Linked DNA regions of Caenorhabditis elegans. The protein of the gene in region 2 purifies or fractionates together with the protein of the main gene of each other region. This does not show direct contact. Each region holds a gene or a part of one and is shown on either strand. Other genes may lie near its edges.

Region 1 (4,946 bases), on a different chromosome or scaffold from region 2:
ATGATTTCAGACTCGGTCAAGCACATCGTCAAATGGTATTGACAAATGGTGAATATCTGAATATGGATCCTTTACCAATGTCCGGAAATGAAATTGATGCCAGACGATATTTTGATTGCGATGAGGACTTTTCAAAGTATAGGTAACTGTTCTGCTACAACAATTACAATAATTGCATATAATTTCAGAGCTCTAATGCCAATGCACATCGCCATTTGGGAAGAAAGCATCGTCCCATTTTCCAAACTGAATGTCACTTTTGAAGAATTTTGTTTGTTGAAGGCACTTACAGTATGGCAAGCTAGTGAGTTATTTTTTCACGTTTCAGAGATAGCTTAACTTGTGTTTGAAACTCTTACCACTTTTTTTCCAGGCGGGTGTTTATTTAGTGTTAATTTTTAAATTCATCATTTTCTCGTAAAATAAACTCATATTTTGGCAGTAGGCAGGTGAAGGTGGCATATCAGACAGATATTTTTGTGTCTACACGGAGGAGTGACTCTGCCAAAGTGATTAACACATTTAGATTTGTTTTAAATAAAAATTCAAATACGATATACATAAGTTCATAATCTTTTTAAAAAAATGTATTCAACTTTCAAATTAATCCTTCAATAATTTCAGCATACTTCAAGCTAACTGAAAATGGCCGTGAAAAATGTCGTAGACAAAGGAATATCATAATTGGCTTTCTATCAAAAATGTGTCATTCACCAGGTGGAGGCGGAGAGCATCGTGTTGGAGAACTTCTGATGAGTATGAATTATCTCAGGGTTTGTTTATTTTTGTATAACAGCTATCCAGCAAACAAAGGATATTACAGGAATCTGCTCAAAAACTCACAACTTCTTACGTGATGCTCACAGTTTTCAATGTTCTCAACTGTGATTCAATGCTTCATGAAATGCTTAATTTTCAATACTAGCTAAATATTTGTGTGAAAGTGTTTTATTATGTTCAAATTTTATTGTTTTATCATGATCGTCAATAAAACAAGGGCAAATACTGTTTTACTACTTGATCTCTTACTACGTGATCTCTTTTACTATGATTTGCATACATAGATCTTTTACGACGTTTTACTCTTTTGCTACAACCGTATTTTTTACTCCGTTATCCCATTTCGATCTTTTGCTACAGTTTGTATCTTTTGTTACGGTGGACATTTTTACTACAATGACAAGGATTGTATCCTTTACTAATGATTTTTTACTACATACGAATTAAAAATTAATTTTCATAGTACATATATTCTAGATATGAACAAATGTATGAATATTTTTTAAAAATGCATAGGTCACAGTTTTAGTTTGTTCTCAAGTAGTTCTAGTAAATTTCAGTTGTTTTCTTTTGATGGGATACTGAGTTGGAGTTCATGGAGAGATACTGTTGGGTTACTGTAGTTGTACTGTGGTAGTAAGAGTTTTCAGATTATATCGTTTTTTTTTTTAATTTCTAGAAATTGATTCATTATGAAATGATCAGAACTTATTATGAACATTTGGCTCTAGATATTAAAAAAACACGATATGCTCTTTTGTTCTCTTGTAATCATGAATAAGGATCGCTAGATACCCACTCCTGTTTGTGCGCGATTATAAATAATCCCCGAAAGGACATTTCCAAAATTACCGTTTCCCTGGACATCGTTTTCCAAAAATACAAGCTCTAAACGAGAGCCCCTTGATGTTTTTTATTTGGTTCGAAATTTTATATGTCTGCATAATCTGAAAAATTAATTGGAAATTCCGAAGTTATGAAATACCGCGTGCAATTGTTCAAAATCTTTTATTCAAACTTCCGCCTTTTTGCCCGCGGCGGCCGCGTTTGTGAAAGTTCTTCCATTCGCTACGTACACCTCGTGGACAAAGTTAATTTCACTTTTTTAGAAGCATTTTCTGCAATTCTGTTCAATTTTTGTTTAATTCGTTACTCTAATCGTTTTGTTGTATCAATGTCAGCAAAAAGATTTTTATTCCAGTATTACGTAGATTTGTTTGTGTTTAGCCGACAAATTGAGCTTCACTATTGCGTAACCATTGTTTCCTTGAAAATAGAGCATATAAATTTTTTTCAGATAAATGTACAGAAGACTAGCCTCCGGCTTATATCAGGTAATTTAAACAATTTTGTTTACAGTGAAAGTAATTTATTTTTCAGACTTCCCAAAGAAGAATCGCACAAGTTCAGCCGAAATCAGTATTTGTCCCAGAAACAATTGTAACGACACTTCCGAATGGGTTCAGAGTTGCAACAGAAAACACAGGTGGATCTACTGCTACTGTAATTATTTTTCCTAAATTATTTGTTTGTTCAAAGCTATTTTTATTAGATCGGAGTATTTATTGATGCCGGCAGTCGCTACGAGAATGAGAAAAACAATGGAACAGCTCATTTTCTAGAGCATATGGCGTTCAAAGTTAGTTTAATTTAATTTTTAGAAAATTTTGAATTTCATATAAAAATCCGAATTTTTCAGGGAACGCCTCGCCGGACTCGAATGGGATTGGAGCTTGAAGTTGAAAATATTGGAGCTCATCTAAATGCGTACACTTCTAGAGAAAGCACGACGTATTATGCTAAATGTTTTACAGAAAAGCTTGACCAATGTAAGAAATAAAATTATTAATGCAATTTTTAAAATATCTATTCCGAATTGCAGCCGTCGATATTCTTTCGGATATTCTTCTGAACAGCAGTCTTGCCACTAAAGATATCGAAGCAGAACGTGGTGTAATTATTCGAGAAATGGAAGAAGTTGCACAAAACTTTCAAGAAGTTGTATTTGATATTCTTCATGCTGATGTTTTCAAAGGAAATCCTCTTTCCTATACAATTCTTGGTCCAATTGAATTAATTCAAACAATCAATAAGAATGATCTTCAAGGATATATTAATACACATTATCGAAGTGGCAGAATGGTATTAGCAGCAGCCGGAGGTGTCAATCATGATGCGATTGTTAAAATGGCAGAAAAATATTTCGGAGAGCTCAAGCATGGAGATTCTTCAACTGAATTCGTCCCAGCCACTTACAGTCCCTGTGAAGTCAGTTTTTGTTTGAATAAATTCGCTATCAGCAAATATTAAATAGAATTAACAAAATATATTTTTAAATGTTTACATTTCAGGTTCGAGGTGACATTCCAGATCTTCCAATGTTGTACGGAGCGATGGTTGTCGAAGGAGTATCTTGGACCCATGAAGATAATCTTGCCCTTATGGTGGCTAATACGGTACTTTTTTAAAAAATATTTTTATAACTTAGAAGTTGATAGTTCATCATTCCAGCTAATGGGTGAATACGATCGTATGCGTGGATTCGGCGTGAATGCTCCAACTCGCTTGGCTGAAAAATTGTCACAAGACGCAGGAATTGAGGTTTTCCAATCATTTAACACGTGCTATAAAGTAATGAATTCCTGGGAAAAAAAACTCTTTTTACATATTTCTGTAATTCAGGAGACAGGATTAGTTGGAACTTATTTCGTAGCTGCTCCGGAATCCATCGACAATCTTATTGATTCAGTTCTTCAACAATGGGTTTGGCTTGCGAACAGTGAGTTTTTATTTAACATAGTCCTGAGTCAACATCTTTCATTTCCAGACATTGATGAAGCAGCGGTTGATCGTGCCAAGCGCTCCCTGCATACGAATCTACTCCTAATGCTCGATGGCTCAACTCCAGTCTGTGAAGATATTGGTCGACAACTCCTTTGCTACGGTCGTCGGATACCAACTCCAGAATTACATGCCCGAATCGAATCAATCACAGTCCAGCAGCTCCGAGATGTTTGCCGACGTGTATTCCTTGAAGGACAGGTCTCTGCAGCAGTTGTTGGAAAGACGCAGTATTGGCCAGTTAATGAAGAAATTCATGGAAGATTGATCAGAATGCAATAGATACATGTGTTATAGTTTATTTGTTAGACAAACGTTTTGTTTTTGGTAAAAATAAATTCTAAAAACCCGTCAAAAAGTGAAAAATACAGCATCAGTCAATTGTAAATTGGAAGTGGGTGGGCTTCAGTGTTGAGAACCCATCGATCGAGTGGAAGGATTTCTTGATCATCAGCCATTAGAAGGTAAAGGTATTTGAGGGTCTCAGCAAGGAAGAATGATTCCATTTTGTCACGTCTGAATTTGAATGATTAAAAATTAAACAAAATGCTGACAAACCTTTTGATCTTCTTTCTGAGCACATTGTCAATTGAGCTGTATCCACCAGTTTCCACTTTTGCATACTTTTCAATCGACTCAAAAGCTTTCCATCCCCACTCTTGATATTTCTTATCTTTAGTAACACGATACAAATAGAACCACGCTTCAATTGCTTCTGGACGGAGAAGTGAATGAGCATCAAGATTCTTCACATAAGTATCCGCTTGTGTCATATCAGAACTATCCTCCATATTGAAATGTATTATTTCTGGTCCAAGTCCTGTTGGATTTTCATACATTTTATGACAAACATTTCCAATATTTTTAGCCATTTCCAAATGTTCATTGTCATGATCAAGACCATTTAAATGGGAAAGTACAAGAGATCCGGAAAGGAAACAGACAAGGTGATCCATTTTTGGATAGAACTGTGCCAATTCGGTTATTTCACCGAGAAACCAGATGCTATTCGGCTGAGATTGTCTATAGAGATGCTTTTTCATGGCGGCAATGGATTGAATGAAGTCGTCACGCAGCCAATCAATTGATTTTTTGGTTTGAAGCCATTGCTTGATAAGATATTCGTAGTAGCTGTCAGCACGAGCTCCAAGAGTAATACCTAAAAAGAAGAAGAATTTTGTTAAATTAGTTGATATTCAAACAAACTTGATTTTTTGAATTCTCCTTTTCCGTCAATGTAAAATGGGCACAGTCCATCCATCTTTTTACATCCAACATTGTGAACATGCTCCGATGCTCCGAACGCCACATCTTCATACTTTTGA
Region 2 (5,381 bases):
TATTGCATGCGACCGGCAACTACCATCTCAAGATATTTATCAATGCTATTGGGCGAGAAGATCAGTAAAATCATTGGTTTTGATTTCGCAGTATATATTCAGCATTTGGCTTATGATATTATTTGCTGCAGAACACCAGGTTCGGATACATTTGTGTTCTTCTATAGTTTTGAATAGAAAGAAATTTTTAAAAAAGTTACACTTTCGAAGTAAACTATAAAAACCATTCGTGAATTTTTAGATCATACGTATGAACAAACTGTTACTATTATGCAAAACGTCATTTTAATTTATTGCAATTATCAAACCGCTAATTGTTTTTGAGCCAGATATGCATGAAACTATGGCTTTAATAAAATTCAATTCAGAAACTCTACTTGTTTATTCTGGTCACCTTCATGACACTCCTATTTGGACCAGCTCTTTTTGTTTGCCACACATATGGACATTTGAATGTAAGCAACTGATTTTTCATGCACAGTCTGTTTTTTTGCTTTTCAGACCTGTCAGAAGTGGGCTGGTTCGGGGTGTTTTGCTAGTTTATACGCTATGTGTCCACCGAAACCTTCAACATATGAAAAAGATAAAGATGATGAAGAAGATGAGAAGATTGAAAATCCTCAGGAAAAAACACCTCTAGAAAATGAAGATGAAAATCCAGAAAAGCAACCTGGAGCTGGCGACTCGAAAGAGCCAGATGAGACATCAGGAAATAGTAGTCCGAAAAAATCAACACAAAGAGGAAAAGGACTGGTGAGTGTTGCTATCAATTTTGATGTGTCTACTATATTTATTTTTCTAGGACCCCACAAAGCACACAGAGTCTCAAAAATTCTACTCATGGCTCACCGATTCGAGCAATAGCGGAAACAGTGGAGACATTTTGTTTCGTCCATCTGTTGCTTAGTGGCGCTAAATGATCGCATTTTTCGATTATGTGCCTTCAATTGTGTTGATAGAAAAATATTTATTAAACATAAAGTGTTTTATAAAGCCAATGAATTAAAAATATTTTAAAAACCTGGATTTGTGAGAAAAATAACGTGTTGATTATTCGTCGTCTTGTTCCATGGATTCCTCACTTTCGTTGTCGAAGACAGAACGGAATGGTCGTGGAGCTGGATCAACTGGACGGCCATCGGCGGTCTTAGCTTGAGCAAATCCGACACGGTTCTGATCAAAATCGAAGACGGAATAGTACCTGATTTTTCATTGGGTTCGTCAATGTTTAATTTGAGAAAAGATATGGCTCACCTTCCAATGAAGACATCTCCAAGAATCCAGAGCTCTCCAACGCGTTCTGGGAGATCGATTCCCATAAATCCAGACAAGCAAATAGTCTTTCCACCCTGTGAAACCTTAAGGACATAGTCTTCTCCCTTAAGACTGAACTCTTGTCCTCCGATCACAAAAGAGACTGGTGGAAGTGTTGGAACCTTGTCGCAGCTGATCATGTACTCTCCCTTGATGAGAGGCTCAGCTCCAATGAAATTTTGGATGGCTTCGATTTGAGCCTTTGGTCCGGCTATGAGAGAAGTACCGGTATCAGCAATTGCTTGGCATCCATTGGAGCATCCAAGAACTCCAGATCCAACAACCTTGTCCATCTTGAATTGCCAGTATCCCTTTCTGGTGACTGGAACATAGGTGATTGGCTCAACATATCTTCTTGAGTCAATTCCTCCAAAAGTGATTTCTCCTCCAATTTCAGAGTCTGGGTTACGGTTGAGCCAAAATGAGAAAAGATTCGATGGGACCTTCTTCTGTTCGAAAAGAGTGTTGAACACTGGTTGAACTCCTGCAATAGAGTATTACAGAAGTGAGAAAACCTAGTAAGTGCTCAGAAAATAAAAGTCATTTTCTGTAATTATTGTACCTTTGATGGCATACAGGATGCAACTTATTATTACTTCACACCAAAATGTTCAATGCACAGCTTTTATAACTAAAACAAAATGCTGAACCCTTCCGATTATCCGGGTGTATCCCAGTCTACTTCAAACTCTTACCGAGAACCGCAATTTCAGGGTAAGCCATTCCGAGGATTCCGTCGAATTTGGCAGCGACAAAGGTGATTCCTGGTTCACTGGTTGCTTCAGCAAATGGCTGATCCTCAGCGCACACTCCTGCGACGCAAACGCTATCCTTTGAAATGAATCCCTTCATGGATCCAGTTCCATATTGAATTGCCATCTTTCTACCATCCTCCTTGTATGTTGACGAGCTCTTTGAGTCGTAACGGTGATGAAGCACTGAAATGAAAAAGTGTTTTATTTGTTTGTCCAAACCATAAAACTGTCAAAAACAAACACGTTTCGGTCAGCATCAGTTCACAAGAAAAAGCATGATATCAGTTTGATTTGGTGATGAAATACTTACTGCATGCAATGTCGTAGAATGGACACTTTTTCGATGGAATCCACAAATTGGAAGACCCAGTATCAAAGATGACTGTGAAGTTTTGAGCTGGAGTTCCGATTGAGATGGTTCCAAAGTATTGAGCCTAAAACTTTGATTAGTTATATGTTTTTTGTTGTTTCAATTCTCACATCCATATAGTTTCTGAGAAGCTCATCAATCTCTCCTTCAACATTCAAAGCTTGGTACTTGTCGAAATGATGATTTCCATTGGTTTTCAAGTACTTCTTATATCCATGACGATGCTTGGCAAAGGTTTCGAATGAACCGGCTTGAAGAAGAGTCTCGCGAAGAGTCGGCTGCTTCTTCAGGGAAACGCTGCAAGCAGAATAAGAACTGAGCAACTGCTGAGTGGGTCACTTGTTTTTGTTCTTGTTGTTCGGATTTTTGAGCAGTGTTGATCAACTCGAATGGGATAAGCAGGAGGGTCTTGTGACCCATCGAGAGAAAAAGTGGCATGATGTGCCTTCTCGAAATCTTAGATTTGTGAGACAAAATAGAAAGAAAAAGTGTTATGATCAAAGTAGAAAGAAGTGTTCCCAACAAAACCCAATGAATTTAAATAATCCTTTCACAGTTAGAAAAATTTTATTAGGTTTTTTTTTTAATGTCAAAATCAGATTTGAAACTACAATAAAAAACAATGGACAACTTTCAGTTCTTTATAGTATCCTGTCTAAATGAGATTCTGACGGGATTATATAATATTGAAACAGATAACAAGGTTACTCATTACCGAGGATTCAAGTATCAATCAATCTTGCACATTATCACACCTATTCAGTTATGTCATAAGTAGGTGTTTGCGTGGCACCTAATATTAAGAAACATGACCAACATTTTCACTATATCGATGATCAAAATGAGGTGTCAACAAACCTCCAACGACCTCTACTTACGTTCTCAATTTCTGTTGCCTCTTGTGAACATGAAGACCTTGAACGAGAAGAAGTGCTCCGAGGAGCAAAAGAATACAGCGGTTCATCCTGACGATGAAACTAACTGAATGCCTCTTCCGATCTCAATTGTGCCTTTTCTTATCTCCCCTTTCTCTTCATGATGACTCCGCCTTGTTTCTTTGCCGGCACAACAGCAGCTGCAAGGTCAACTGTCTCGTTGTTATTCCTCCAGCTGTCATGCATAATTATCGGAAAGTAAATTCTAAACATTCAAAAAATGGCCTGACCGTTGTCAACGTGTCCGTCTGTACCGGTGAGATGACAAGTTTGAATGATAAGGGAATTGTGAAACTTTGTTCTGTTTCGATTTAGGGGAGAGAAAATGGGATAATTTCAAAACTCGGCCAAATCAAGATCCTATCTAATTTTGTCTTCAAGGTTGTTGTAGACAGTAATTGGGACTTTTGACGGAGTTTGAAAGACAGTTAGTCAATCACGCAATGGACTATGAAAAAAATTGCATGGCCACTTTTGAAATAAAACCAAAACGTTTGGAAGACCAAGCAATTTTAATGTTAAACTGTTAAACATAGAAGACACAAAAGCTCTGTAAATTGAGGTTTTTTTGTGGATGGAAAATAGCGTGGATGCTGCCCGTTTTTTCCGTCTGATTTGTGAACAACAGTGTTTGAATGCTAAGGATAATATTGATTTAGGTTCATTCATCTTAAAACAACTATGATTGGGTTATAGCTTTACAAAACAGATTCTACAATTGTTCAAGGGCTCCTATATCAAGTAGTTGCTTAAATTAAGCCTATAAAATATACAAGTTGCGTGGAAAACTTACAGGAGATTTAAAAATTGTTTTTGAAAAACTATATACAATTTTCGTATAACATTGTTGACATTTTTGTTCAATGTTCAATTTTCAGTTTTCATTAAAATTGTTGATGAAATTATCATGTCCTAATGCAATGTCCTAATGCATACATAAAAAATTTTAGATGAAATGGATTAGCATGAAAAAAGCTATACAATAAAAACTATTATTGGAAACAACCGGCACTGGATATATGAATATTATGTATCTTTTAATCACAACTCTCGAAAAAGTTATCCCCCCAAAGTCTGAAGAATTGAGCATAGTGAAACTTTACTTAACTAACAAAATTGAAAAATAATATTCCACAAAAAAGGGCAAATTAAGGCAGATGAAAAAAAAAACTTTAAAAAAAAGCACACTATTAAATTTTCCAGATTTAGTAATCAGAACGCTGCATTCAATTCCGTCATGAAGTTTATAAACGTTTAGTTCTTTTAAAACCTAGTATTTTGCAATAAACACCAGAAATGTACAAGTTCGGCCAAATTGGATGCAAAATCAGAAAAAATCGGAAATAAAAATCCGGTAATTTGGGGGCTCACCTCATATTCTGAAACAACGAGAACTTGATTTACATATGGTTCTTTGATATTTAATTTTAAGCAATTTTTTAATTAGTAGTGACACTTTAGTTGTTTGTTTTGTTTTCCAACTATTCTTTTACATTCTTATAACTTCAATTTTTCATTTATGAGGTTTGTAAAATAATTTATTCACAAATAAACTTGAATCAAAGTGTATAAATATATTCTTTCAAACATCTTCTTCACAATATGTGAAATTAAACATCAATCAGAATCCGTTGTGAATGTCATTGCAGATGTTCCCTCTCCACCATTTGCCAACGCTTCCTCCATTTGTTCTTCATCTGACCTGATTCCATAGATCTTGCGAATTTCTTCCGTGCTTTTTCCTCGAATCAATTCTGCTGCGGCTGCACACCCCATATTCATCAAATCTTCGACTCCAAGCGCATGAGAAGCATTGAGTAGTGCAAAAAGAACTCCCGATTCCACGTTGAAAAACTGCTTGTCCCATTCGGAAAAATCGTGGTAACGAATTTTGGAGTCTCGTCGGGCGAGCGGGTTGTCCTGATAATGGTAAAGCCACTCTATTACAGCTTGAACAATCGATGAGTGGAATGGAACGAGAATTGGATCTGCTCGTTCACAATTTCT

The links. The genes of interacting proteins can lie anywhere in the genome.
Region 1: the proteins of asp-4 (region 2) and mppb-1 fractionate together in Caenorhabditis elegans (co-fractionation; one large-scale study listed by BioGRID). This does not show direct contact.

The regions. Positions count from the first base shown.
Region 1 is NC_003282.8:9,072,596-9,077,541, forward strand, and holds mppb-1 (Mitochondrial-processing peptidase subunit beta), read left to right. Parts: upstream 1-2,077; 5' UTR 2,078-2,081; coding exon 2,082-2,114; intron 2,115-2,160; coding exon 2,161-2,283; intron 2,284-2,332; coding exon 2,333-2,419; intron 2,420-2,479; coding exon 2,480-2,609; intron 2,610-2,662; coding exon 2,663-3,048; intron 3,049-3,131; coding exon 3,132-3,236; intron 3,237-3,291; coding exon 3,292-3,411; intron 3,412-3,462; coding exon 3,463-3,559; intron 3,560-3,607; coding exon 3,608-3,903; 3' UTR 3,904-3,976; downstream 3,977-4,946. Other genes in the region: Nuclear hormone receptor family member nhr-11, read left to right, coding at 11-142, 189-304, 625-773, 824-925; mans-4 (alpha-1,2-Mannosidase), read right to left, coding at 3,999-4,137, 4,180-4,780, 4,828-4,946. UniProt on the Caenorhabditis elegans protein: Catalytic subunit of the essential mitochondrial processing protease (MPP), which cleaves the mitochondrial sequence off newly imported precursors proteins. Preferentially, cleaves after an arginine at position P2.
Region 2 is NC_003284.9:13,218,025-13,223,405, forward strand, and holds asp-4 (Aspartic protease 4), read right to left. Parts: upstream 3,439-5,381; 5' UTR 3,404-3,438; coding exon 3,318-3,403; intron 2,737-3,317; coding exon 2,550-2,736; intron 2,504-2,549; coding exon 2,380-2,503; intron 2,253-2,379; coding exon 2,010-2,252; intron 1,799-2,009; coding exon 1,255-1,798; intron 1,202-1,254; coding exon 1,051-1,201; 3' UTR 961-1,050; downstream 1-960. Other genes in the region: R12H7.4 (G_PROTEIN_RECEP_F2_4 domain-containing protein), read left to right, coding at 1-139, 369-455, 502-753, 803-907; skr-20 (Skp1-related protein), read right to left, coding at 4,992-5,381. UniProt on the Caenorhabditis elegans protein: Aspartic protease, which is part of the necrosis cell death pathway. Involved in neuronal cell degeneration. Involved in heat stress response.